Canis lupus familiaris: one gene and its partners. The protein of the gene in region 1 interacts with the protein of each later gene in a biochemical or structural test. Links are inferred from orthologs where the notes say so. Each region holds a gene or a part of one and is shown in the gene's direction. Other genes may lie near its edges. The genes, in order: CDKN1A, CCND3, GADD45A, CASP3, SKP2, ESR1 and AKT1.

Region 1 (3,956 bases):
AGGTGCCTGGGTAGTTCAGTTGGTTTAGCATCTGTCTTTGCTTCATGATTTTGGGGTCTTGGTATCCAGCCTGGAGTTGGGCTCTTTGCTCAGCAGGTAGTCTGCTTCTACCTCTCTCCCTACTTCTCCCCCTTCCTCTGCTCCTGCTCTCTCTCTGTCTCATTCATAAATAAATAAATAAATAAATAAATAAATAAATAAATAAATAAATAAATAAAATCTAAAAAAAAAAAATATGTTGCGGGATCCCTGGGTGGTGCAGCGGTTTGGCGCCTGCCTTTGGCCCAGGGCGCGATCCTGGTGACCCGGGATCGAATCCCACGTCGGGCTCCCGGTGCATGGAGCCTGCTTCTCCCTCTGCCTGTGTCTCTGCCTCTCTCTCCCTGTGTGTGTGACTATCATAAATAAATAAAAAAATAAAAAAAATCTGTTGCAATCATAGAGATCTCTATTGTTGAGGTGAGAAGGAGGTGGATGTGGGCACGAGGAGGAGGGGTAGGGAGGTTGGTTCAATGTCCAATTTCCCCCATTTCCTGCTTTCCCCTGGAGACCTGGTTGACCTTTTCTGAGTATTCCCCATTCCCTCCTTCCCCGGGGGCATTGGGCGAGCAACAACTTTGCATCCGTTTAGTCCTGAGGTCCTTAATTTCTTCATCTGTGAAAGAAGGGGGATCGAATCCGGTTCTGGTCTCCAAGATGCTTTGTTGGCGTGTCTGGGTGCTTGGGAAGAGGCGGTCTAGTGAGGGGTCTGTGGGAAGACTGGCGGTATAGTGGGCTTTTCTGGAAATCGCCGAGCGAGGCACATCCTTTATGCTTTTATTTATGGAGTGTTATCTATGAATGTCACCCCTCGTGATCTTCTCGGGGCCAGAAGAAGGGCTCATCCTAAGAATGCCATCCCTTCGTGGGGAGTGCCAACTCCCAACCCAGCGAAAACAACCCCGGTCTGTGGCTCAGTTAGTGGGGAAACATGTCAAGCACAGGGACCCAGGCGCGGGGCGCGGGGCGCCGGGCGCGGGGCGCGGGGCGGGGAGGGAAGCGCCCCCCTGCAGCCCGCGGTGTAGGCGTCTGACTTCGGAGGTCTCCAGCCGCCGGCGAGTTGCGAGCTGCGGCGGCGGACGGCGGCAGAAGGGGCGGTGCCAGGCCTGGGGGCGGGGCGGCCGGTCCCTATATAAGGCGGCACCGGGCGGTGCCAGCTCGCGAGCTGCTGCGGGAGACGGTGGCTTGGAGAGCGGAGGCGGGCGCGGATTCGCGGAGCCGGAGACCCTCGGAGGAGGTGAGGGCGTTGTGGCCGGCGAGGGGGCCTGGGCCGGCGGCTCGGAGCCCGGCCGAGGTGTCCGCCTCGTGTGTGTGTGTTAGTGTCCCAGCGGGTGAGTGTGTGCGTGCGCGTGCCGTCTTCACAGGTGAATGACGTGCGTGGGTCGGCGCGTGGGGCTGGGCTCGGCTCCCACGGGTGTCTCCGGAAGGTGCGCTTGTGCCGGAGGTCGGGCTGTGTCGGAAGCCCGGGGCGGCGGGAGCGCAGCAGAGCGGGGGATCCCCTGCCGCGCCCCCCGCCCTGGAGCCAGGGGAGGCGTGGACTCGCGCGCCCCAGGCCCCCGGCGGCGCGCGGAGGGAGCCCCCGGGCGCGGAGCCCCCGGAGGGGCGGGGAACGCCGAGCCCGGCAGGTTCACCGCCCTCCGCTCCCGGCGGCTGCGATCCAATCCGCGCCGTCTCCGCCCAGACCCCTGCGGCCGGGGTCCCCGACGCCTCCGCGTCCGCCACCGGCTGGGCGCTGAGGTCAGCGCGGGCGGCGTACCCCCCCCGGTCCTTGGGAACGTGTTGGGACACATCCTTTCAGGGCAATCGAGGAGGTGACTCACGGTGACAAGGAGACCCCGGGAAATGGGACGGGTGCGGTCAGAGCCCCGCCCGGGCTGGGGGACAGTGGCGCCCCAGAAGTCGGCTTCCTCCCCGCCCCGGGTGTCTGTGCCCCGATCGGCACAGTGACTGTTTGGCTGGCACAAAGTGTTCTCAGGGAAGCCGGGACATCGGGAGGTCCAGGACTGGGTGTCCGGTCCCCGCCTCGCAGCGCGCCCTCGGGGACCCGGAGCGGTGGCCCTGCGCGGGCTGGGCTCGCTCCAGCCGGCCCGTGGGAGAAGAACAGGGGTCGGACACACCTGTCCTCCTTCGCGCCCCGCCTGCCCTGGGGTCGGGGCGCCGCATTCCGCAGCGGGAGGGGAGACCTGCGCCGCGGGGCCGCGGGGCGTGCAGCCCACGCGCGGGGCGAGGGACCCGGAGAGGTCCCATCTGGAGGCTGGTCCCACCCTGACGGCCACATCCGGGGGCTCCCGGCGCCCCTCGCCAAACTGCCCTGTCCGAGGGCGACTGCTCAGCGCGCAGCGAGAGGACGAGCCGTCCTTTGGGCGCCGCCGCCCAGCGCGGGCCACCGTGCACCCCCCCCCCCGTCGGGGGCCCTCGGGGGACACGGGCGCCCGCCTCTTGCGGAAAAGAATCTTGGAATTGGGTTTGGCGCTTTGGGGTGCCCGGGCGGCTCCCTCCCTGCCCCCCCTTCCCTGCCTCCACGTCGCGGTTCGAGGACTGTCGAGCGGTTCTGTTTTCCTTGCTTTCGTCTATTTTTATTTTCCAGGGATCTGACTCATCCCGTGCTTTGGGCGTGGAGATAAGGTGGAGGGACCAAACCTCTGCGCGCCTCTGCGTGCGGAGTGTGTGTGTGTGTGTGTGTGTGTGTGTCACGGAGGCGCGCGCGTTTTTCCAACAGTGGCGGGGCTTTCGGAAGCCTGGCTGGCTCAGCGTGACGTGTTCGCGGCCCCCGGTCCGCCCCCCGGTCCGCCCCCCGCCTCCCCTCCCCACCCGAGGGTGACGCTGCAGCCCGAGCGCACGCAGAGTTGTGGCGGGCGGGGAGCGCTCCGCAGGAAACTGACTCATCGCTGCTCGCGGCGGCGGCTCGCGGCTCTGCCCACACGCCGACCCTGCGCGTGATTTCCTGGAGACCGGCGCCCCCGTCCGGCCCCGAAGCGAGTAGCAAGCCCGCCTTCCCTTCCCGCCTCGCTGCGCCGCGGCTGAGCCTGAGCCGCAGCTGCGAACGCCCCTGAAAAAGCATGACCCGTTGGCTCATCGCGGGGTGCTCAGTGCTTACTGGTTACTTCGGAATTAAAACTGGCTGAAGTCTAAGACACGAAGGCCAACCAAGGATGCTATTCTCGGTTGTTTGTGAAATAAGGGTTTATATTTGACTTTTCTCTGAACTGGGAGTTACGATAATGGGAATGAGATCAGATTTTGATGAGGAGCCTATGAGGGCCATAGGGTGGTAGGAGAGAGGATCCTTGCCTGGATTCTGGTCCCATCTTGAGCGCCTAGAAGCCTGGGAATACTCAGCCTCCTGGTGAAAAGCCAAGGCAGGCTCCTCCTCCTTGTGCCAGTGAGGCCATCCTGTGTATCCTCTCTTGAAAGGCACCCCAAGAGTGCCCATATGGGGAACTGCCAAACACCTGCTTAAATCCCCTTTATTTTATTATTTTTTAAGATTATTTATTTATTTATTCATGAGAGACACACAGAGGAGGCAGAGACACAGGCAGAGGGAGAAGCAGGCTCCCTGCGGGAAACCGGCTGTGGGACTCTACCCTTGAACTCCGGCATCAGGCCCTGCACCGAAGGCAGATGCTCAACTGCTGAGCCAACCAGGGGCTTAAATCCCCTTTAGTTTGAGTTATTCTGGGAAGAGAGGGACCTATCAACCTGTATTTTTTAAAAAGCTCCCTAAGTGATTCTGCTGGGCCTCTGGTTAGGAACACAAAACTAGAGAGGGAGTAAGGATGAACACCAGAGCACGGAACCCAGGATAAACAGGCCTGGGTTCAAATCCTGGCTGTGCCACTTGTGAGCCATGTGACCTCGGGCAAGTTACTTTACTTCTCTGAGGTCTTAGTTACTTCTTCTGTTAAAAAAAAAAA
Region 2 (4,177 bases), about 4.9 Mb from region 1:
ACTCTAGAGCTTGGGGTCGTGAGTTTGAGGTCCACACCCGGGGCGGTAGAGATTATTTAAAAAGAAATAAAAAAACGTAAAAAAAAAAAAAAAAAGAACAATTCATCAAGAACATGCTTAGCATAAAACTTGCTTCTTCTGTAACTGTCCTTTCTCTAACAACTCACTGCTTTCAGCGGCTCCTTCCTGGGGAGGACCCCAGGAGAGGCAGAGGGATCCCTCAGGCCTTCTCCCATTCGGGGCCTAACGGGGGATTCCTGTGGTCTGCCTCTTGGCCACATAGAATCCAGCTTTGGGGGAAAACAGCGAAACAACCCAAAGTGTGGGAAGTAGAAGAAATGGCAACGGGAGGATTTGAGAGTCTGAGCAAGGAACTCCTTCACAGAGGATCTATTTTCTCCGCCCGTGTTTTCCTCCAACAGAAACTAAGGCCAACTTCAGGGCTTGTCCGAGGCCACACAGCCAAACTAATGACAAGGTGAGGAGGCCTTGAATCCATGGCTTCCCCCCTGCTGTCTTACTGCAATAGGCAGATTTAGACCAAGCCTCGCCCCACGGGCACAGGGGTCACCAGGGATCCTACAGAGGTGCTAAGTGTCTGGGATGGGGCAGCCCCCGCAGTGCCAGTGTCGCCGGGTCGCGGGTGTGGGGGTGGAAGGCGGTGAGGGTTCTGGGGCCAGGTTCAGCTTCCCGGTGCTCGCGGGGCCACAGGCCATGTGTGATTGCCACGCTCAGCTGGGCTCCAGCTGCTGGGCTCCAGCCTCGCCATCCGCCAAGTGAGGGGACTACCCGGCCCGTGGGGTTTTCGGGATCGTCGGGGAAGCGGTTCCACGCCGAGCGCTCGGATCAGCTGCGTCAGGAAGCGGCCGGCTCATGAATGGCCGTATTCCCACTCCCCCAGAGCGCTAGGAGGGCCGAGCGGGGTCCGACGGATGAATGAATAACCCCCTGGAAGAAGGTTCTTTCCCGGGCGGCTAGAGCCCGAGAAGCCAGCGGGGGAGGGCCGAGCCGCTGGGGAAGAGGCCCGCCTCCTAGGAGCGGCTCTCGGGCGGGCGGTCAGGAGGCCCGGGAGCGCCCGGAAGCCGGCCGGCCCGCGCCCTGCCGACCAATGCGGCCGCCGGGGGGGGGGGGGGGGGCGGCCCGCCAGCCCTTTCCGTCCGGGGCTCCGGCGGCCCCGCCCCGCGCCGCGCCGCGCCGCCCGAGCATTCCACGGTTGCTACATCGTCGCGAGGGGCGGGGCGCCTGTCAGGGAAGCGGCGCGCGCGCCGGCGCGGGCGGGCTGGGGCTCCGCGCGCAGTGCCAGCGCCAGCGCCAGCGCCAGACCCGCGCCCCGCGCCCCGCGCCCCGCGCTCTCCGGCCGCCGCCGCCTGCCTCCCGCCAGCCCGCCCGCGCGCTGCCCGATCATGGAGCTGCTGTGCTGCGAGGGCACCCGGCACGCGCCCCGGGCCGGGCCGGACCCGCGGCTGCTCGGGGACCAGCGTGTCCTGCAGAGCTTGCTCCGCCTGGAGGAGCGTTACGTGCCCCGCGCCTCCTACTTCCAGTGTGTGCAGAGGGAGATCAAGCCGCACATGCGGAAGATGCTGGCGTACTGGATGCTGGAGGTATCGCCCGGAAGGGTCTCCCCTCCCTCACCGCCCGGCTCCGGACATCCCCCGGGCCGCCCTGTCGGGACATCCTGGTCCCAAGAGCGATCAGCAAGATGCTTTGGTGGCTCAGCCCCGCGGGGCCTGGCCATTCGCCCGGGCGCCCTGGCCGGCCGGCCGCCCCCGCGCCGTCGCGTCCCTTCCCCAGCCCTGACTCTGATTGCCGATCGCTCGGCACCGTCACTGAGCCTCCCGGGGGGCGCGCTCCCCCCGCTGCCCTGCCCTCCCCCGCTCGGGCTCCGGAGCGCGCGCCCGGAGGAGCCTGGGCTCGGCCGCCCCCGCCCAGAGCCGGTGCCTGCGTCGGTCGCGGGGCTCGGGCGGGGAGCGCGGTGGGGGTGGCGCGCGCGCGGTTCCGGCAGTCGGGGAAATGAAAAGTGCGGGAGGCGGCGGCGGGAGTCTCCTCCCTTCCCTTTGGGTGTGTGCCGTGGGTGGTTGTAATGGGGGTAAGGTCCCAGTCCGCTGGCTACCGGGGCTGACTTTTCCGTTTCCCCGGCCCCCTTCTCGCCACGGGGGAGGGCCGTCCCAGTTTGGAATCCTTAAGGAAGGGAGCCTCTGGCGTATCTGGCGTATCCCCCCACCCCCCGGGGGAGGGGGAAAGGAGGCCGGCAACTCAGAGGAAGTGGGGGGGGGGCGTCACCTTGGGGGAAAGGCGCATCCTCCTCCGTCTCTTAGTCCTTGTCACTGAAGGCACACTTATCCCCCCTCCCATTTTTTTTGCTCCCCATTCCACTTCCCTTTCAGCGCCACCCCTCTCCCCTTTTAGTGCGGCAGCGTTTCCCATGCCCTCGCCCCAGAAGTGACTGTGCGCCCTCCCCCAGGTCTGTGAGGAGCAGCGCTGCGAGGAGGAAGTCTTCCCCCTGGCCATGAACTACCTGGATCGCTACTTGTCCTGCGTCCCCACCCGAAAGGCGCAGTTGCAGCTCCTGGGTGCGGTCTGCATGCTGCTGGCCTCCAAGCTGCGCGAGACTACGCCCCTGACCATCGAAAAACTGTGCATCTACACCGACCACTCTGTCTCTCCCCGCCAGCTGCGGGTGCGTGCATGACTCTCCCCACCCCGACTCAGTACCGCCTCACTTACCAGGAAAAGGAAAACCAAGACCTCAAAAGCTTTTCTGCCCTGGGGAGGGTAGCAGAAGCTTATTTTTTTTGGACCAAAGGTGGGGCACTGTCAGGGTGGGACAGTCAGGGTAGCTCCCCAGCCTGAGCTGGAGCTGCCAGCACCAATCGAATCCCCTTCTGACCTCCAGGGGGTGCCATTCCTTCCTGGTCTTTCCCCCAGATAGCAACAAGTCAAACTGCATGTCTATACTCACTAGTACTTTGCCTCTGGGTTTACACAGCCACCATGAGTTATTTATTGGCAGCAAAAAGACATGCCTGCACACCCCCACTGGAGTGGGGGAGTGGAATGTGTTTCATGTGGGGGTGGGGGCTGCCTTGGTTGACTCTTTGCCGCAGTGTGGACTTTGTGATTGAAAAGCCTCCCAGAGCCAGAGCCGATTAAAGTCAGGCTTAAAGTCAGGCCGTTTGCTCTCAGGAAGGGCTGAGGAGTTGTCATCCCACCTTGTTTCTTTCCTTTTGTATCCCAGAAGACAGAGCTCCTTCCATGTCCTCGTTCTGAGGAACTTGAGCAGCTGCTTCAGGCCTGCTGGAGTCCCCTCTCCCTTTCCCCCTTAGCCAAAGGCCAGAGCTGAGGGAGCGACAGGGAGCCAGGCTGCAGCTGCTTCCGATGTGATAATGCCGCCCCCTCCCCTGGCCCAGCCACTCTGCCCTGAGGTCTTTCATAACCCTGTGGGGAGCTGCTGTCACTCCTGTGGTTTGGGAAGTGGCTCCCCAGGCCTCTTGCTGGGAACCTGGGCTGGGCTCTTCCCGGGGCAGGCAAGAGAGTCAAGGCTCTCTTTCCCCATTGAGCCTGGAGAGGAGGGTGGGGGAGCTGCTTGGGTCTGGGAGAGGTTATTTAGGGCAGGCAGATCACCTCCTGGGGGGCCTGAGGGGCCTGGGGGAGAGGATGGGTGAGCTGGCACCTTCCTCCACCTTGCTCTGTGGCCAGCCAAGTCTTCTCCTGACCCTGAGAGGAGTCTCTGGGCCCCATCTCCTGGGGAGGAGGGCAGCATGCAGTTTGCTGTGATTGGCTGGCCGGGAAGCCAGGGTACTGGGGCCCCCGACTGCTGCTTGTCGAGGAACAGGATTCCTCTTCCTGCCAAGTAGCTCTCAGAGATGGGAGTAGGAGGCCAGAGTTGGGAACTCCGGGAGGCCCCACAGCTCTTTGTGATGAATCTGGTAGTTTTTGGCAAGTCTGAAGGTGGAGCCGGTTTCCAGGGCCAGTGAGCAAGATGTTTTTGGAGGGTTTGGGCTGGAAGGTAGAAGGGGACTTCCTTTTTGTGAAAAGACTGGCATGGTGTGTGTGCCTTTGTGCGAGGGGAGTTTTTTTAGAACAGGCCACAAGGACTCTTCCTCCACTCCCTCTGCGTGAGCTGGGGGGTGGAGTGTGCAGATGCCTTCCTGGAAGGTCAGAGTTGGAAGGGACTGCA
Region 3 (3,986 bases), on another chromosome or scaffold:
TTCAGAAGTGTGTTAACTTCTGCTTGCTTTCCACCCACAGGTTGCCATTATCTCAAAGGTGAAATTTTAGCGTATGACTAAAAGGTCCTATAGCTGCAGCTTCATGATTCAGCATCTAACATCAATAACTCACAGTGAGATCACAGGCTCTCTGTGGAAGGTAGTGACATACTTGCCTTATGAAAGGAAGCTCAGGGCATATTGAGAGTATTTTGAATTTAGACTTGTGTGGGCGTCAGACGTGTGTGTCTCTTAGCTGGGGCAGGTGCAGAAGGGTCCTCCTTTGGGAAAAGCTCTCGGGAAAGGTGAATTTGGGTCGTAAGTCTAGCAATTGCACATGCGGCCCCCCTCCTGACCACGGTTTCCAGAGTCACCCTGGGCAGGTGGGAAGCCTCTCTGCTTTCCGTGGAAAAGATTCCAGCTTGGTTCCGTGCCATTACCAAACACAAATGTGTTGATTTTTCTTTTTTGAGCTTCCAACCCTTGCAACCTTCCAAAAATAAATCAAACCAGCCATCAGGGCACCGAAATAATACTACTACTAATAAGCAGCTTTGCCTAGACTTACATAAACAACACTTCTGAAGTCAACTTTGCCCCAGAGGTCTGAAACACTCTTTTTATGTAACCTGCTTACTAATAATTACTAGACTTGGGTGCATTAGCCCTGGAAATAGACTTTAATAGCAACTGCTAAAAACAAAAGACATGAAACGACAATAAAATAAAAATGTGCACCAACCAGAAAAACAGTTGGCAGCCTGCTCGGGGCTCAAGTGGAAGGCACCCCTCTGCCCCGCCGCTGCAGAGACCCCCCACCCTCCTCGGAGCCTCCCACCGGATCAGAGTCGGCTCCGGACCCGCCCCGCCCTCCCCCTCCCCGCCCCGCCCTCCCCCTCCCCGCCCCGCCCTCCCCCTCCCCGCCCCGCCCCCTAGGCCGCTCGCCCCGCCCCCTAGGCCGCCCGCCCCGCCCCCTAGGCCGCCCGCCTTCCGCGTGGCTCCGCCCCCTTCCGCTCCTCTCCCCGCGGGTCCTGGAGCCGGGGTCACATGGTCGGAGCAGGCTGATTTGCATAACCCAATGGCTGTGCGCATGCAAATGAGGCGGGTGGTGATTGGCTGCGGTCGGCCCCATAAGGGCGGCGAGGGGGCCTTTGTCCCAGTGGCTGCGGCGGCGGCGGCGGCGGCGGCGGCGGCGGGCGCAGGGGCGGGGCGGAGCGGGGCCGCGGACGGGCGGACGGACGGGCCGACGGACGCGGTGCAGACGCCAGGCGCCGCGCGCCCGCAGAGGCCCGAGCAGCCCGCACGCCGCGCCCTGGGGCGGACCCGCGGCTGCAATATGACTTTGGAGGAATTCTCGGCCGCGGAGCAGAAGAGCGAAAGGTAGGGCGGCGGCCTCCCGAGCGCCCCCCGCCCGCCCCGGGCACCGCCCCCGAGGCGCCGGCGGACTGACGGACGGACGGACGGACTGACGGACGGGCGGGCGGGCGGACGCGCCCCTCCCCGCGGGCCCTGGCGGCGGCCTCGGGGAGGGCGATGGGGTCGGAGGGCGGCTGGCGGGCCGGGCCTGGGCTGACGCGCCCCGCGCTGGCTCCCGGGCAGGATGGACAAGGTGGGGGACGCCCTGGAGGAGGTGCTCAGCAAAGCCCTGAGTCAGCGCACCATCACCGTCGGCGTGTACGAGGCGGCCAAGCTGCTCAACGTGTGAGTGGGGCCCCGCCCCCCAGGCGACCCCGCGGAGCCCCCCACATGCCCCCGGGGAGCCCCCCCACCTGCCCCCGGGGAGTGAGTCTTACACCTGCCCCCCGGAGACCCCCCCCAGGCGACCCCGCGGAGCCCCCCACATGCCCCCTGGAGAGCCCCTCCAGGCGACCCCGGGGAGCCCCCCACCTGCCCCCGGGGAGTGAGTCTTACACCTGCCCCGGAGACCCCCCCCCCCCAGGCGACCCCGCGGAGCCCCCCACATGCCCCCGGGGAGTGAGTCTTACACCTGCCCCGGAGACCCCCCCCGAGGCGACCCCGCGGAGCCCCCCCACCTGCCCCCTGGAGAGCCCCTCCAGGCGACCCCGGGGGAGCCCTTCACCTGCCCCCGGGGAGCCCCCCCCACCTGCCCGCGGGGAGTGAGTCCTCCACCTGCCCCCGCGGAGCCCCCCACCTGGCCCGGGGGCGGGGGGCGGCGGGCGGGCGCGACCCTGGGACCCCGGGGCCTGCGCGCTCAGCCGCCCCCGCCGCCCGCAGCGACCCGGACAACGTGGTGCTGTGCCTGCTGGCGGCCGACGAGGACGACGACAGGGACGTGGCGCTGCAGATCCACTTCACCCTGATCCAGGCCTTCTGCTGCGAGAACGACATCGACATCCTGCGCGTCAGCAACCCGGGCCGCCTGGCCGAGCTGCTGCTCCTCGAGCCCCACGCCGGCCCCGCGAGCGAGGGCGCCGAGCAGCCCCCGGACCTGCACTGCGTCCTGGTGACGGTGAGGGGGGGCATGGGGGTGCGCGGGGTTGCACGGGGTCGGGGGGGTGCACGGGGGAAGGGCCGGACCGTCCTGGTGACGGTGAGGCGGGGGGGGGGGGGCGCGGGGGTGCACGGGGCTGCGGGTGGTGCGCGGTGGTGCACGGGGAAGGGCCGGACCGTCCTGCTGACGGTGAGGCGGGGGGGGGCGCGGGGGTGCACGGGGCTGGGGGTGGTGCACGGGGAAAGGCCTGACCGTCCTGGTGACGGTGAGGCGGGGGGGGGGGGTGCGCGGGGTTGCACGGGGGAAGGGCCGGACCGTCCTGGTGACGGTGAGGCGGGGGGGGGGGGGAGCACGGGGGTGCACGGGGCTGGGGGTGGTGCACGGGGTCGGGGGGTGATGCATGGGGGGTGGTGCACAGGGGTGCGGAGGTGGTGCACGGGGGAAGGGCCGGACCGTCCTGGTGACGGCGGTGGGGGGGGGCGCAGGGGTGCACCGGGTCCTGGTGCCGGTGAGCCCCGGGGTCGGTGGCGGGGCCGAGCTCCCGACCGCAGCCGACAGGTGTGGCCCCATCCCGGCGGGCGGGCGGGCCGGGACGTGTCCGAGCACGCGGGAGCCGCGGGGGAAGGAGCCTCGTGAGTCAGCAGGGCGGCCCCTCCCCACCTCCGCGGCGCTGCCTCCCGTGACCGACTCCCTTAGCAGGCAGATTAGGTTCAGCCAAATAAATTCCTGGCTCCCCCTCATTAAGGAGTCGGCTTCGTCCTCCAGCGCTCCAAGCTAAAAATAGAAGTGGTGTAGGAGACCGACCTTATTAATTCCCTAGAAATACACGAAGAGGACGGAATGGGGATTGTTTTTTATTTGCAATCTTGGATTTTTTTTTAATGGACCCCCCCCCCCCCCATGACTACCTTTGGTGGGAAGATGACTTGTGTTTCCAGAGATAAATAGGACAGTTTTGTCTTTTACATTCTGCTACTTATGGGCTGGTCTAGGTAAGTGGCGGCTTAATCATTTTGCGTGTCCTGAAAACTACCACCCTGTCTTTGGGGAGGATGACAGGTGGCAGTTCCAGCGAACTGTTAGGGGCTCGCCTCTCCCTGGGCTCGGGGCATGGAGATCTTTGTCCGAGCTGTTTCTCGCTCAGGTGGCTTCCAGGGGACAAGCCTCTGAATGCTACTCTGCTACTTTCCTGCAAAAACGCAGTAAACATCCTGCAGTCCCATGTACGCGGTGCGGAGGGCTGCATGCATGCAGGCTTGCAGGGTGTGCTTTAGAGCATTACGTAGTGGTTTCCCCAGAAATCAGCTACCAAGAAAAAAGTTGATCTTTTTATGGTTGTAACTGGTCTCTTGTCACACAGCCAAAGTACAGAATGCTCAAGTTGTCTTTCCCTCGAAATGAGTGTAATTATTAGCAAATGTTGCCTTTTTTTTCTTTTTTAATAGTAAATGTATTTTTCTCAATTTGTTTCCAGAATCCCCATTCCTCACAGTGGAAGGATCCTGCCTTAAGTCAACTTATTTGTTTTTGCCGG
Region 4 (4,093 bases), on another chromosome or scaffold:
AGCCCCTGGGGAGGGTTTGCACAGGATCCTGTTCTTCAGTTTTACTGCAGCAGAAAAAGGCCTGCCAAACACACTGATTGTCCCTCTCTCAATCTGGGAGGGACAAAGGCAGGCCCAAGCCTCCTCCTTGGAATCCAAATCTGATTTCGGTATTTCTCTTTTTAGCAAAAAGGAAAAACGACGTAACTTTCTTAAACCCGTGAAGGGACTGGGATTCCTGCCTCCAAGACTTGTTAAAAGGATAAAATGAGAAAATGTAGGGGCTCCTGGGTGTCTGCCTTTGGCTCAGGTCATGACCCCAGGCTCCTGGGATCAAGCCAGCTCAGAGGGGAGCCTGCTTCTACTCTCTCAAAGAAATCTGTAAAAAAAAAAAAAAAAAAAAAAGTACTAAGCATTCACCAAAGGGCTGCCACGCATACTTAACGATGTGTATTCATTCATGTACAAACTACAGCCCCCGATTCTTAACCGAATGGGTAGAAATGCTGGGGGCGAGGCTAGTGCCTAACGTGGGTCCGGGACCTGGAAGGACGTCCTGAACCTCTCGGAACCTCTTGACCTCTGATGCGGAACTTCGTGCTCGACTGTGCTGACACACTCTTCTAAGAAAACAACTCCGTGCTTGCTTTCGGGTCTGCACGCAGTTCGTGAGCCAAACCAGGCGGGAGATCCGCAGCGCAGGCGAGGACTCAGGGGCGGGGGGGGCGGGGCAGGTAAGGCGCGGCCCGGGGCACCTGGGGGGCGGGTCGCCGCCGGCTCCTCGTCCTCCCGGAGGTCTGAGCGGGCGTCAGGACGGCCTCTGACTCCCTACTCTCTGCTCCTCGGGCCTCGCGAGGCGTTCAGGCGTCCCTCCTTTTACTTTCAGAAACACTGGCGACCGGCGGAAACCCACGGGGTTCGCAGAAACAGGTGGGGCCCGTCTTACAACCCAGCGCGTGGCCGAGGCCAGAGCGCGGGGAGGGCGTGTCCACAGGAAGCGACGCTCAGGCCTATGAGGGACGGCCTAGGGGCGGCGGGGGCGGGGAGACGAGGGCGCCGGCCTATGAGGGAGCGGCATGGTGGGGCGGGGGCGGGGAGACGCGTGCGCCGGCCTATGAGGGAGCGGCATGGTGGGGCGGGGGCGGGGAGACGCGTACGCCGGCCTATGGCCTAGGGGCGGCGGGGGCGGGGAGACGCGTGCGCCGGCCTATGAGGGAGCGAGCTGGGGGGGTGGGGCAAGAGAGAGCGGGGCTAGCGGGACGTGTCCCGCAGAGGGGAGCGCGAGGGGGCGGGGCCGGGGCGGGGCCGGGGCGGGGCTAGCGGGGGCAGGGCAGCCGCGAGCACACCTTTAAGCGCCGCAGGCTGGGCGTTTGGAAGGCGACCCGGTGCGGAGAGGAGGCGGCTCCTGGCTGCTCCCCGGAGTCTGTGCGGTGAGTGCAACCACCACGTCTTCCCGCCGCAGCCTGTGCGCCCGGCGCCGGCTTCCTCCATCCTCCCGAGCCCCGCGCCCGCCCGCGCCCGCCCCGCGCCCGCCCCGCCCGCCCCGGCGACCCGCCTGGGCTTGCAGCTGCTCCCGGGCGGCGGATCCTTTGTTCCGGCGCCTCCGCGGCTGCGAGAAGGTGCACGGAAGGCCGCTGGGCGGGAGACCCGAGCGGGGGTCGGGGAGGCCGGGGGACGGAGATCCGGCTGGAGGACGCGGAGCCGGCGGCCTGGAGGCCCGAGAGGCCGGGCCGGGAGCACCGGGGCCGGGCGGCGGCGAGCCTGGGAGGGGGTGCCGAGCGGCGCGGGAAGCCCGTCTGGTCTCGGGCCTCGATTTTCCTGCCTTGGCTGTGCGACTCGGTTTTCCGGGGAACTAGCCTCCAGCATTGAATTCCATTTACTTTTCAGACCCGAAGGCTTGCATAAGGCCGCGCCGCCCTTTCCCGGGCTCGCATCCGCTGCCGAAGTCCCCTGGAGAGTGCCGTTCTCACCCTGTCCCGCCGGGCTTCGCCGGGCACAGGCTGCCTCCTTCCCTGTCCTCCGTAAGTGGCGTCCAAGCCGAGAACCGCAGCCACCTCTCCCCGTTAGCCATCAAGCCTCCTTCTGAACCCCCTAAAATAGGCACTAGATCTGTCCACGTCTGTACATTTTTGAGAACCCCCCTCCCCCCCAGGCTCTCACCTGGCCACAGCAGCCTCCTTGGCTTTTCCAGACCCTTTCCCCCACTCCATCCCATTCTTCGCAGCACAGGCCGAGTGAGCTTTATAAAATAGAATTCTAGAAGGCTGTTCCTTTGCCCACTGAACAAATCCAGTCCCTTAACAAGGCTAACAAAGCCAAGCATAGGTTGTGTCTCCTTGATCCCCTCCCCTGCCTTATCTTTTGTGATACTACCATTTCAGTTACTGACCAGCCAGGCTGATCTTAGAACCTGTTCTCTGCCTGGAACACTGCATATTCCCTCTCTCCCATCATTACACATCACATCTGCTTGAGGAACTCCTACTTAGGTTTCTGTTCTCATTAAGTACCTCAAGGTTAGGTCTTCCTACTGTGAGTTCCTTTAGCATCCTGCATTTCTTAAACGGCAGCTGGCCCATGCTTTGCAGTTGTTTTGTTTACTGTTTTCCTTACTACTTTGTAAGCAGATTCCAGGAGGGACCATGTTTATCTTGTTATCTTGTTGTTCCTAATTGTTTTCCCCCTTTACAGAGGGGCCTGGCCCAAGTTAATGCCCATACTACAGTATTGTGCTTTTTTAATAATTATGCCCAGTCTAGAAAAAATAAGCCTATTTTAGGTTTACTTAGTAAATTATAATTAAAAGATGTGAATCAGAAGGGAATAGTAGAAGTGAAATAGGGAGTCGCTATACCAACGTGAGTATGAATATTCGCAAGATAATCACAGGCACTAAGCAAGGTGGTTAGACCAGCCTGTATCAAAATGTACTCAGCCGCCGCTTTGAATGTGTTGAAGTTACATGTTCTCCAGGAATGAAGTCTAAAGCTTAAATCATCCCTATCACAATGTGATGTTTGAGCTTTGGTTTTGCTTTGCTCTTTTGCAGAAGAAGGCTTTGAAAGTTAGAACGTGTTTTAATAAATGAACAGGCTATTGGAGTGTGGCAGTAAAACCCCTTCTCAGTAAAAAAGAAATGAAACATTGTATTCAATTAAATCAGATTTGTGTTTGCTCTCCTTTAAAAAAAAAAAAAGGCCTTACTTCCTGCCATTTTAAGAGACTGACATGTTATCTGATATAGGCAATTACAAGTTTCTCTGCTGTTTTGCTTTCAAACCCAATTTAACACAATCTCCTGCTTCATCCCCCTTCAGTGCTAAAAAACAGTCTTTTTTTTTTCCACGTATGGCTTTAAAAGAATTTTGGTGCCTACTGTTTAGATCTTTAAACTCTGCCTTAAATGTGAAGCACTGGTGTTTGGGCCCAGAACGAGAGATGGGAATTCTTAGACTGTTAGATAATGTTTTGTACACATTTAACAAATGTCCTGGAGGGGGACAGACACTTTGTTGTCAGGCCACTCTAGGCCAAGTCCCAAGGGCAAAACTTACTACTAGCCCATTCATAAATTAGGCATAAATTATATAGACACCTCACAGGGTTGTGGTGAGTATAAAATGAGAGGTCTGTTGACTGTGCTTTGTAACTATGTAATGTTATTCCTCTGCCTATTTTGTTCTTCCCTGCAAATAGTTCATAGAGCTTCTGAATTAGGGTAGAGTAAGATAAAATTCTCTGGTCCCTACCCAGCACTGTGTGGTATCTGCCTTAGGGAGCCACTTCCAGATAGCAGAGAGTACAGGTGTGAGCCCCCCATGAGGACACCTACCCTCAGGTTTACTGCAGTACTCTGCACACAGTTCAGTAAATGATTACAGCCCAAATGACAAATGTATAAAAATAACTGGCTCTTGACTTTTTACAGTTCCAAACCTCTGGGAGGCAGGATTTCTTTAACCAAGTGGTTGTAAACCAGAATCTGCTTTTACAGAGCAGTGGTTCGGGGCGGCGGGGGAGGCCTTGTAGGTTATCTATCATTTTTATAACAGGCAAATATAGAATGAAGGTCCTTCATATATATATGAAATACAAAATACAGCTTTGAATAGTG
Region 5 (3,940 bases), on another chromosome or scaffold:
GTGATGACTTAGCAGAGGGCTCTGCTTACTTCTGAACTTGATCAATCCTCTCCTTTTTTTTTTTTTTTAATTTTTTTTAATTGAAGGTTGGAATTTATTCCCCTCTCCCTTCCACTGTTCTCCAGGGGTCACCGTTTGTGGATTTCGCACGGTCATCCGACCTGGAATGCGGCACACTCCCTGCTCTGGCCGCCCCCAGGCTCTCCCGGGCGGCGACAGGCTCGCAGCAGCTCGCCTTTCAGACGGCGACGCCGCCGGACGTCGTCGGCGGAGCGCGAGCAGCCCAGCGGCCCCGAGCGTGGCGCTCCACGGCCCTCACAGACCTACCGACCGTCCCCTTAGCTGTTCCCAAGCTCGTCTGGGCTGCCAGGGGGCTGCGCAGCTGTCCCACCGCACACCGTGGCAACCGCCGTGTTCTCCTGCTCCCCTAAAATTAAGCCACCGCCTCTCCTTCCAACCGCGCTTTAGTTTACAAAGCGCTTCCACAAGCGTAATCTGCCCCTCACGTCAGGCGTGTTCTCGGGAGGAACCTCGGAGCCGTAGTGCCTACAGAACAGGCACCTGGTGACCCGCAGTGCTAAGGGTCACTATCTCCCAGATGGAGGAAGCAGCTTCGCGGCGGCGGCGGCGGCGGCGGGGGGGGGGCGGGGGGGCGCAAGTGGGACGCCCGCGGCCCTCATCGTCTCACCTGGCCGGCGGACCGGGCTGCCGCCTCCACTCGGTGGCCGGGAACGAAGGCCCGCGGTGGCGGCGGCGGCGGCGGCTCGGGGTCTCCGAGGTCCTCTCGATCTCCGCCAGCGCCCGGCCTCAGACCGCAGACCCCACAGGGCTCACGCCCTCCCCATCAGGCCAGACAGCGTCCGCACAAGGACCGGGAACCCCGCGTCCGCCACAGCCGTCCCGGACCTGCGACCGGCGATCCGGGGCGACGGCGGTGACGACCACTAGAAAGGCCTGCAGGCTCCGGGGTAAGGAAAATCCGTCCCCAGTCAGGCGGCTGACATTTCCCAGGCAGCCGGAGCGCCGCCCACTTCCGCTTCCCCGCCTACCGCGTGGACGGCCCCGCCTCGCGGGCGCGGGGGCTTGTGGGTATCTCCGAGGCGGGTAAAGTCAGCCGAGGAAGGACGTCGCGCAGAGCCGGCGGGACTACGAGGCAAGACGGAAACTACAGTTCCCGGCAGGCAGCGGGGCGGCCGACGGCGGCGGCGGCGGCGGCGGAGGGCGAGTAGAAGAGCCCTCGCGCGCGCGGCGAGGATGGAACGTTGCTAGAGTTCGCGGGTCTCGCTGCTGGGGGTCGGAGCTGCACGCCTTGAGCCGCCGCGCGCCAAAGCGGGAATCCCGGAGGCGTGCAGTTCTGCAATTAATGCACGCGTTTAAAACTCCAGAAGCTGTGGACGCCATGCATAGGTAAACCGATTGCAAAAGGGGGCTGAGAGTGAATGAACCGCCTCAATTCTTTTAGGCCGCGAATATTGCTACGCGCTAATACTGTTGTGAATGTTGTAATTGAATCGTTGCTCAGCCCCTTCTTTGGGAAAGTGTGGGGGGCCGGATGCTTTAGTGCGGTGATCAGCGTGCGGTTTTTGCCTTCCCTTATTGAGCTTTCCTGCCGGTGTACGTTTGCCCCCCCCCCGTCCTCCCCCCCCCGCTTGTCTGTTCCCTCCACTTTAAGACATTCTTGAGGCCTTCTCCGTGATCGTAAATCAAAAAGCCTTTTTGATTTGTTCGGTTATTTTCTTTTTTTCCTTCTTGGAAACTCGCCGCCGGCACTTTAAAAAAAAATGCAATTCTTAAAGTTTTCTGCATTGCATAACTTAGAGTTTCATGTAGGCCTATCTTTGAATTATTTACGGGTGTGTTTTTGAAAGAAACCGGGGCTGTTGTGCATTTCTGCAGGAAACACCTCCAGGAGATTCCAGACCAGAGTAGCAACGTTACCACCAGCTTCACGTGGGGATGGGATTCTAGTAAGACTTCTGAACTGCTGTCGGGCATGGGGGTCTCTGCTCTGGAGAAGGAGGAGGTGGACAGTGAGAATATCCCCCAGGAACTGCTCTCAAATCTGGGCCACCCTCAGAGCCCGCCCCGAAAACGGCTGAAAAGCAAGGGGAATGACAAGGACTTTGTCATAGTCCGCAGGCCTAAGCTAAATCGAGACAGCTTTCCAGGTAAGGTATGAGGGTAAAACTGTCGGTCACTTAAGAAGTGGACTGAACTATTTATTGCTAATCTTTGTTAAGCGATCTTTAGGATGGCACGCTTTTAAAATTGCCTACTTCTGAAGTCGATTTCCAAAGCAATGGGACAACCCTTTGTCACTGAAATCTACAGGAATCTTGGTAGGTATATATTTTCCAGGTGCACAATTGACTTTTAACCCATGTGAAATTTTAACCCAGAAGATCTTCCTGCCTCCTTCCCTTTGAAGGGAATCTGCGTGTTCAAAGGCCAGCTCAGTGCCATTGTTAAATGGGAACATAAGCAATAATCTTGTAGGATTTTTGTTATTTATATTCCGTTGCTCTGTAGCTTCAGTTGAGTTTGTTGCCATAATTGCTTTAGTTATTTGTCAAAGGACTACTAACGTGAATGTTAAACTAGGAGTAGGGCCTTATATCCCTCGGACCTCCCAAGTGGGATTTTTCTGGTTTGATCTGTCTCCATTACTGCCCACATTATCTGTTCAGTCACCCAGCCAGAAACCTGAGGGCCAGTCCCTTCCCACCATCTTCCAGCCCCCAACCAATCATTGAATGTTTCCCTCTTGTCTCCTAGATGTTTTTCATACTCTCATTATCTCTTGCCTGAATATTGGCATGGACTCATAATTCCAGTCTTATCCTCCCCTGATCCATCCCCAGAGCTAGAGTGAACTGACTCAGATGTAGAACTCACCATATCATTTCCCCAGGCTTCTCAGACATGTCATTGAGTATCTCCCAGAGTGGATCAGAATCCGAAGAGTACAAAAGCCATAGGGTAAACACAGTGCAATGACTTAGGGTTATCAGTTTTTCTTGCCAGTAAGTCATTTAAAACATTAATCCAGCAAATATTTGCTGAGCACATGCTATGTGGGAGGCATCGTTCTATGTGTTGGGGATAAGGCAGGGAACAAAACATAAGCATTCCTGCTCTCATGAAGCTTCTGTTTGAGAGGGGGGATGCAATAAACATAATAAATGTGGTGTATAATATGTTAAGAAGGTGGTAAATACTGTGGCCAAAAACAAGTAGAGAACAAGCCAAGAGGGATTGGAAGTCCTGGGGTTGGAAGATGGTTTACAACTTTAAACCTCACTAAGAGATATTAAGGGATAGCCTCACTTAGACACAAGCTTTTTAAGCAAAAGCATACAGGAGGTGTGAGGAATGTGCCACGCAAATATCTTGGAGAAGAGGGCTCTAAGCAGAGGACAAAGGCAGTGCAAAGACCCTGGTGCAAAAACATGTCATGTTTGCTCAAGGAAGAAGGAAGCCATATGCAGACTGAGCAAAAGGGAGAGCAGTGGGAGATAGGGCTAGAGGTGGTGTTGAGCAGATTTGTGATGTCATCTGTTAAAAGGACACACTGATGTGTATGGATTAAACTATAGGGGGGTCACGCATAGAAGCTTAGAGATTTGTTAAAAGGATGGATTCTGACATTAGAGTTGACAGAATCAGGAGGCTATTGAAGTCGTCTGTAGAGGAGGCGATCGGACCCTAAACAGGAATTGGGTGGGTGATAGGGGAAGAATAAGAGGCAGATTAAAAGAAATTAAGATGAAGTCTTGCAGAGCCACGGTAATAAGTATATTCCTCAGTTCTCCCACCAGACTTTCTTTGAAGAAGGGTTGGTTGGTTGCTTTAAAAAAAAAAAACAAAACTATTGTTTCTGGGTTTTGACTTTTTCACTGGAAAAGAGAACCGGCAGGTTATGATCTGGAAATCTATATCA
Region 6 (3,500 bases), on another chromosome or scaffold:
GAATGGCACCTTGAAGGTATAGTCAAGTGATAAAAACTGGTATCCAGGGTTACATGGTAATGATGACATAAAAATTTGAATTGTTACCTTTCTATAGATGTTCTATGTTGTTCATCAGTTCATTTGAGTTTCAAATGCTCCAGCTGGTTTATACTTTTTCTCTATTTCCTAAAGATCCGTAGTGTGTGTAGAATTTGAATAACCATTGGTCTCTGATGATTTTTCATTAACTGTGAATCCCTGAAAAAAAGTGAATAAATCTATTAAAAACCAGCTAATTTCATTTTGTCATTTTCTGAATAATATATTCTGGTGTAGGCAGTCCATTTTTTAAGCAAGTTTGCAATAAACAATTTCCCCTCAAGGTTAATAGAATAGGCAAACACCTTTTGCTGTAACAGCTGGCAAGAGGTAATGAAAGATTAGCTTACATTATGATTCATTATTTCAAAATGTCAGAATAAAGTGGATCTGCTGCATCCCCCAAGCCTCTTATTCTTTAGAAGAGTGTACATGTTTTGCTTTTCTAATGTTAATAGATTCACTGTTTTTATTTTTTCCTATTTCTTTTTTTCCAGGCCAAATTCAGATAATCGACGCCAGGGTGGCAGAGAGAGATTGGCCAGTACCAGTGACAAAGGAAACATGGCCATGGAGTCTGCCAAGGAGACTCGCTACTGTGCAGTGTGCAATGACTATGCCTCAGGCTACCATTATGGAGTCTGGTCCTGTGAGGGCTGTAAGGCCTTTTTCAAGAGAAGTATTCAAGGTAATAGTGTGTTGAAAACAACTTATTTCCCTTTAATCTTGAAGGGAAGCAACTGAAGAAAGAAGGCATATGAGCAGCCATTTGTAGTAGAAAACACTAATACCTGGTAGGTCCATTAGTATCTCTGGTAGAAACATGAATATAAAAAAGTTCTCGGTAGAAAGAGTTGACAAAGACCAGGGTAGTTGTGGCTGGCTGAGTAATTATGCTCCTTCCATTGGCAAGATCCAAGCAGTCTTGAGCAACTCAACAGGAAGGGGATTTTAATAGCTGGGTTTCCAGAGGTCTGTGCTCAGATATTCATGTGTTGCAGGCAACGGGGCTTATACAATACATGTAATACGAATTGTCTGTACATTACTACCTTCCACCTTGGTTGTGTCCAGATATGGATTCTGTTCTGATCTTTGCTCCAGAGCACCAGTTCTTTGCATCAACTCTAACTTGACTTGTTCTTCTCTTGTTCTTCCTCCACCTCTTTGTTGTCTCAGTAGATGATATGACTTTTGCTAAAATGAGAAGACTCAATAGCTGGTGACCTGTAATAGGGGACATATTATCAGTATAAGCAGTTAGTATTTACTTGTAACATTTCATTCACCTGTGTGCCTTGATCCTTTTTTTATATGTGGCTTACCAAGTCACCCTTATACTGACAGCTGCAATTTATTTTTATTCCAAGAATGTCTATATTGTTGCATTTTAGAGGATGCTCTGGGAGAAACATCAATCATTTCTACTACCCAAAATATCTATGCTAAAGATTCTTTGTCTGACAGGCATAGCAGTCTGACAGGAGTTTAGGTTAGCTGAATTAACTTTATCTTGGTTCATTTTATATATATATATATATACATATATATATATTTATCTCAGTCCATTTTAAAGCAGTTTTTTTGACAGTTCTTACTTTCAACATCTTTTAGAAATCTACTGTAAGATTTGCACTTTTTTTGTTGGGTTTCTTAAATAAAATTAATGATATTCTCTGATAGCAAATTTTTTTTATACATGTATACACACATATGTAATATATATGTATAAATATATATAAATGTATACATGGATATGTATATATACACATATCTATGTGTTAAAACAACATAGATTATTCAATTTTACCAAATGATACTGTCTTAATTTAGAAAAATGGCATTTCTATTTGGTTTAAGTTAGGATAAGCCCTGAAAGGTCTTTCAACAACCATATTCATTTGTGATATTACTGTTTATTTGCTTTTATATATTCTAAAATAGCATTATTTTCACCAAATATTTAATCTGGTATTGACAAATCATCTGACAGAGGTAGGTTTAGTGAACAGGTTCAATTATAAACTTGACTTATCTGAAACTGAGTTCTCTCATCTGTAAAAATCATTGATAGCAGTGTTCAGCAACAATTTTTTTTGTAAAAATCCAGATAGTAACTATTTTAGGCTTTGCAGTCATTGTTGCAACTACTCAGCCCTGACATTGTGGCCCATAAGGAGCCATAGACAATATATAAGTAAATGGGTGTGTGCCAATAAAACTTTATACACAAAAATAGGCCAGAACTGACCAGAAATGACCTATGAGCCATAATTTGCTAACCCTTGATTTAATGCATGGAAAGGGAATAGATGTTTCTAAATCTAAAGTTTTGACTATTCATATTTATTAAAAACTTACTCTGTACCTGTGCTAGATGTTCTGAGAGAAATCAAAATATGTGTCAGACATAATCTGTATTCCCACAAAATTTGGAATTTATTTGGGAAATTTATTGGGGTGGCAAAGATACTTGTTCTTATGATATAATTAGAAAGTAAGTCAGTATAGGTGAAGTGCAATTATATGATAAAGATAAGGAATATAATAGAAGAATATAAGAAAATAAATATTTTCAGTTATAAAGGTCAAATTACTAAGATTGAAGATAAAAAGGACCTGTCTTCAAGGAACAATACCAATATTCTCACAAATTATTTTTATCCTATTTGTTCAGCATTGAAGATTGTACTGTATAACTTCACATCATACTCTGAGCATTAAAGTATCAGAGCAAAAAAAAAGGAAAAAAGAAAAATACACTTATAAAAATAGTGAAGGAAATGTGAGCTAATAAAAAATGTTTTATTGGTATATGGCATTATCAAAAGTTCAAACATTTAAAAAAAATTTCTGCTTACTCTTTGATGGTTAAAATATATATCTTATCTCCATCTTACATATACAGACTAAACAGTAGGATTTCATTGTACTATAAATTATATAAAATTGTACTATATATAAACTGCATAAGCTACAATTTCTGCCTGGCTTCAGAAACTTCGTATTATGGTATGAAGTCACTTAAATAAGCTTTACTAAATGAGGTGAATATTGAGTCCAAAGTTTTAGAAGAAGCATAGAAATGAGACAAAGATAGTACCTTTAGACATGAGGAGGGACCTTAAAAATGATTCTGTTTATTAATTCATTTATTTATTCATTGATTGCCTCTACTAGCCAGAACACTGTGGAAAGTCCTGGAGATAAAATTATAGGAAAGGCATAGTCCTCATTCTCATAGACCCTAAAAGGTAGTGAGAGAGTTGTGCAAAAAAAATTGGCAACTAAATTACAGTGTGACAAGTGCCAAGATGAGGATGAGTGGAGGGTCTTATAGAGGAGTCCAAATGTCACTCAGTCCTGTTGGGGGTTGAGTCAGGCTATGAGAAGTTTTCTTGATTTAAAATTAAGTCTGG
Region 7 (3,500 bases), on another chromosome or scaffold:
CCTCCAGCTGCCTGCCCAGGACAGGCGGCGTCTCTGAAGGGTGAGTCCCCACCGGCCTTTGCCCTGGGACTGGCCCTGCTGGGGGGGGCGTGGGCTGGGTAAATGGCAGGGGGTTCCTGCTCGGGGGCCAGCTGCTTTCCCTCCTCTGCCCCGCCCCTGGGGCATCCCTCCTCCTCCTCCCTCCGGCCAGTTGAGCTGCCTGGCATGCAGCACGGGCTCAGAGACCGAAGGACCAGGGGAGAGGATGACATGGGGCCGAGGTGACCCGGCCTCAGCCAGCCCTGCAGGGGCACCTCACTGCCTGCCAGCACAGTGTCAGGACTGGAATAGGGGTCCCACCCCTGGTTTTACAAGCAGGGGAGCCAAGGCGTGGAATGGGAATGGGATAGGGCTTTGCATGACCTGGTGGTGGGGTCCCGGGGCCGGGGGCAGGTGGGCCCTGTGTGCGGGGGTGCAGACTCACCTGCCAGCCCTGCCCCCAGAATGTCAGCTGATGAAGACTGAGCGGCCCAGGCCCAACACCTTCATCATCCGTTGCCTGCAGTGGACCACGGTCATCGAGCGCACCTTCCACGTGGAGACACCCGAGGAGCGGTATGAGATGGATGCACGGGGCAGCTGGGTGCCGGGGCCTCTGCTCCCTGGTGGGGAGGGCACACGCCCTGTGGGGAGCCAGGCCTCGCTGTCCCCCGTGTCCAGGCCGGGGTCACGGGGCCTCACGTGCCGGCCCTGCAGGGAGGAGTGGACGACTGCCATCCAGACAGTGGCCGACGGGCTCAAGAGGCAGGAGGAAGAGATGATGGACTTCCGGTCGGGCTCGCCCAGTGACAACTCGGGGGCTGAGGAGATGGAGGTGTCCCTGGCCAAGCCCAAGCACCGTGTGGTGAGGCGCTCCCCCAGCTCAGAGGGGCCTGGCCGCCCCATTGTGGCCACTGGGAGCCCTGTGGGAGGAGTAGGGCTGGGATGCGGGATTGCGGGGGGGTCCGGGCCGCCCTGACCCCAGGTGCCTGCCCGCCGCCCCACAGACCATGAATGAGTTTGAGTACCTGAAGCTGCTGGGGAAGGGCACGTTTGGGAAGGTGATCCTGGTCAAGGAGAAGGCCACGGGCCGCTACTACGCCATGAAGATCCTGAAGAAGGAGGTCATTGTGGCCAAGGTGGGGCACGGGGCCGGGGCCTGGCCGGGGTGTGGGGGCGGGCAGGGGCAGGCGGGGGCTCACCGGGCTCTGTCTTCCAGGACGAGGTTGCCCACACGCTCACGGAGAACCGTGTTCTCCAGAACTCTCGGCATCCCTTCCTGACGGTGAGTCCTGGAGGCGCCGGGCTGCCTGCGGGGGTGAGGCTCTGGGCCGGGGGCTCCCTGCCACCAGCCTGTCCGCGGAAGCCCCGCGTGCCTGGCCGAGGGTGGGCACACCTGCGAGGATGCCGGGAGGCGGGGGTGGTTTGTGCCCCCGTGCACGGAATGGGGTCTTCCTCCCCCCGCGCTGCCCGAGGCCCTGGGAGGACCCCAAGCCCCCGTGCCTGCCCTGCACGCCCCCTTCCGGCTACTCCCCCCTTGAGGCTGGAGCCAGGAGGGTCTCATCCTGGGGGGCCCTTGGCCCAGGAGGAGCGTCCGGAAAGCCGTTAGCCTTAGCGCCGTCCCGGGCTCGGCCAGCTCCTGGGAGGTGTGGATGGGCCCGCGCTCACCTGCAGGGTCTGGCCGGGCGCTGCCCCCACCCGGGCTCTCCCTGGGACTCCCCCCCACCCCCAGGCTGCGTCACCTACTCAGGGTGTCCTCAGCCCAGGGGACCGCCTGATCCAAAGCAGGAGCAAAGTAGGGAAGGGGCTGTACTTCTCTAAAGTTTCTGTTCCTTAAAACGTTTTCTTAGGAGAAGTGACCGACATTTTTAAAGAAGGTCTCATTTTTTAGCCCAGACTCATTCTTTATGCTGGCTTTGCCTGAGATTTGTGTCACCTTGCTCCTGCTGCTCGTGTCCAGGCTCTGTGTCCTTCCCTCCCCCTCAGCGCACCCCCATGACCACAGCACCCTGCCGCGCTCGACAGGGCCTCCGGGGTCCGTGCACGCTGCCCCCCCCACCCCCGGCCCTGGCGGTGGCACCCCCTCTGCAGGTTCTCCAAGGGGACAGGGCTCACGGGGCACAGCTTATCCCCGCTGCCCGAGTCTGTGGCCGGTAGAGACCAGCCTGTCCTGTGTTTTCCGTGGATGGGGCTCCTCCCCGGCGGCTGGGCTAGACCCGGGGTCAGTCACTTGTGGGGACGACTCGGTCCGTGTACGGCCAGGCCGCTGGTGGTGTGGGGTGGGAGGGCGGCCGGGAAGCTCTGCCCAGGCGTGTCCTCCCCTTGCCGACCGTACCCCGTCCCGCGCTGGGCCCCGAGCCCGGGGGAAGCCTCCACGCGGTCACCAGGATCGCCAGCTTCCGGGACCCTACCTGCCTGAGATTCAAGACCGGCCCGTGGGCGTCGGGCGTCCTGCGGGGCCCGGGGGCCGCGTACCAGCTCTGCTTCCCTCGCAGGCCCTGAAGTACTCCTTCCAGACCCACGACCGCCTCTGCTTCGTCATGGAGTACGCCAACGGGGGCGAGGTAGGGTGGCCGCGGCGTGCGTGGGGCTGGCCCTGAGCCCTGGGGTCCCGCCCGGGAGGCAGGGTCTCGGCCCGCAGCCCCCACACCGTCACGCCCTTGTCCCGCAGCTCTTCTTCCACCTGTCCCGGGAGCGGGTGTTCCCCGAGGACCGGGCGCGCTTCTACGGCGCCGAGATCGTGTCGGCCCTGGACTACCTGCACTCGGAGAAGAACGTGGTCTACCGCGACCTCAAGGTGGGCGGGCGGGAGCGGCCTGGGGGGTGCGCTGCAGGGGGTGGGGCTGGCACTGACCCGCCCCCCCACAGCTGGAGAACCTCATGCTGGACAAGGACGGGCACATCAAGATCACGGACTTCGGGCTGTGCAAGGAAGGCATCAAGGACGGAGCCACCATGAAGACCTTCTGCGGGACGCCCGAGTACCTGGCCCCCGAGGTGCGCACCTGCCGCGTCCCCAGGGGGCCTGGGCCCCCGCGTCCCCCGGGCGGCCTGTGACCCGCGCCCCTGCGTCCCCAGGTGCTGGAGGACAACGACTACGGCCGGGCGGTGGACTGGTGGGGGCTGGGCGTGGTCATGTACGAGATGCTGTGCGGCCGCCTGCCCTTCTACAACCAGGACCACGAGAAGCTCTTCGAGCTCATCCTCATGGAGGAGCTGCGCTTCCCGCGCACGCTCAGCCCTGAGGCCAAGTCCCTGCTCTCAGGGCTGCTCAAAAAGGACCCCAAGCAGAGGTGAGCCCGCGGCCCTGAGCCAGCAGGGGGCTGGTGGGCCACCCCACCCCCGTGCCCGTGCCCCCCAGGGACAGCGGGCCAGCCTCCGGGCCACGCTGGTGGCTGATGTGTGACGTCCTCGGCCAGGGCCGATGGGGACCTCGCAGCCTCTCACACCTGCTCAGGAAGACCCTGCCCTGCCGGCAGCAC

What was found.
Region 2: the proteins of CDKN1A (region 1) and CCND3 form a complex in vitro, tested with the Homo sapiens proteins (2 studies listed by BioGRID and IntAct, with this or other methods). The link is inferred for Canis lupus familiaris from reciprocal best matches to the Homo sapiens genes CDKN1A and CCND3.
Region 3: the proteins of CDKN1A (region 1) and GADD45A form a complex in vitro, tested with the Homo sapiens proteins (3 studies listed by BioGRID). The link is inferred for Canis lupus familiaris from reciprocal best matches to the Homo sapiens genes CDKN1A and GADD45A.
Region 4: of the proteins of CDKN1A (region 1) and CASP3, one has a biochemical effect on the other in vitro, tested with the Homo sapiens proteins (3 studies listed by BioGRID). The link is inferred for Canis lupus familiaris from reciprocal best matches to the Homo sapiens genes CDKN1A and CASP3.
Region 5: of the proteins of CDKN1A (region 1) and SKP2, one has a biochemical effect on the other in vitro, tested with the Homo sapiens proteins (3 studies listed by BioGRID). The link is inferred for Canis lupus familiaris from reciprocal best matches to the Homo sapiens genes CDKN1A and SKP2.
Region 6: the proteins of CDKN1A (region 1) and ESR1 form a complex in vitro, tested with the Homo sapiens proteins (2 studies listed by BioGRID). The link is inferred for Canis lupus familiaris from reciprocal best matches to the Homo sapiens genes CDKN1A and ESR1.
Region 7: of the proteins of CDKN1A (region 1) and AKT1, one has a biochemical effect on the other in vitro, tested with the Homo sapiens proteins (2 studies listed by BioGRID, with this or other methods). The link is inferred for Canis lupus familiaris from reciprocal best matches to the Homo sapiens genes CDKN1A and AKT1.

The regions. Positions count from the first base shown.
Region 1 is NC_049233.1:5,927,073-5,931,028, forward strand, and holds the start of CDKN1A (cyclin-dependent kinase inhibitor 1), read left to right. Parts: upstream 1-1,156; 5' UTR 1,157-1,276; intron 1,277-3,956. UniProt on the Homo sapiens protein: Plays an important role in controlling cell cycle progression and DNA damage-induced G2 arrest. Involved in p53/TP53 mediated inhibition of cellular proliferation in response to DNA damage.
Region 2 is NC_049233.1:10,786,492-10,790,668, reverse strand, and holds the start of CCND3 (G1/S-specific cyclin-D3), read left to right. Parts: upstream 1-1,377; 5' UTR 1,378-1,403; coding exon 1,404-1,601; intron 1,602-2,461; coding exon 2,462-2,677; intron 2,678-4,177. UniProt on the Homo sapiens protein: Regulatory component of the cyclin D3-CDK4 (DC) complex that phosphorylates and inhibits members of the retinoblastoma (RB) protein family including RB1 and regulates the cell-cycle during G(1)/S transition.
Region 3 is NC_049227.1:77,929,188-77,933,173, reverse strand, and holds the start of GADD45A (growth arrest and DNA damage-inducible protein GADD45 alpha), read left to right. Parts: upstream 1-1,186; 5' UTR 1,187-1,336; coding exon 1,337-1,380; intron 1,381-1,599; coding exon 1,600-1,701; intron 1,702-2,235; coding exon 2,236-2,470; intron 2,471-3,926; coding exon 3,927-3,986. UniProt on the Homo sapiens protein: In T-cells, functions as a regulator of p38 MAPKs by inhibiting p88 phosphorylation and activity.
Region 4 is NC_049237.1:46,847,432-46,851,524, forward strand, and holds the start of CASP3 (caspase-3), read left to right. Parts: upstream 1-1,293; 5' UTR 1,294-1,409; intron 1,410-1,866; exon of another isoform or gene 1,867-2,000; intron 2,001-4,093. UniProt on the Homo sapiens protein: Thiol protease that acts as a major effector caspase involved in the execution phase of apoptosis. Following cleavage and activation by initiator caspases (CASP8, CASP9 and/or CASP10), mediates execution of apoptosis by catalyzing cleavage of many proteins.
Region 5 is NC_049225.1:73,293,850-73,297,789, reverse strand, and holds the start of SKP2 (S-phase kinase-associated protein 2), read left to right. Parts: upstream 1-1,140; 5' UTR 1,141-1,363; coding exon 1,364-1,407; intron 1,408-1,896; coding exon 1,897-2,168; intron 2,169-3,940. UniProt on the Homo sapiens protein: Substrate recognition component of a SCF (SKP1-CUL1-F-box protein) E3 ubiquitin-protein ligase complex which mediates the ubiquitination and subsequent proteasomal degradation of target proteins involved in cell cycle progression, signal transduction and transcription.
Region 6 is NC_049222.1:42,539,821-42,543,320, forward strand, and holds part of ESR1 (estrogen receptor), read left to right. Parts: intron 1-578; coding exon 579-769; intron 770-3,500.
Region 7 is NC_049229.1:72,720,717-72,724,216, reverse strand, and holds part of AKT1 (RAC-alpha serine/threonine-protein kinase), read left to right. Parts: intron 1-482; coding exon 483-594; intron 595-735; coding exon 736-883; intron 884-1,025; coding exon 1,026-1,157; intron 1,158-1,237; coding exon 1,238-1,303; intron 1,304-2,513; coding exon 2,514-2,582; intron 2,583-2,689; coding exon 2,690-2,815; intron 2,816-2,886; coding exon 2,887-3,015; intron 3,016-3,096; coding exon 3,097-3,311; intron 3,312-3,500. UniProt on the Homo sapiens protein: AKT1 is one of 3 closely related serine/threonine-protein kinases (AKT1, AKT2 and AKT3) called the AKT kinase, and which regulate many processes including metabolism, proliferation, cell survival, growth and angiogenesis.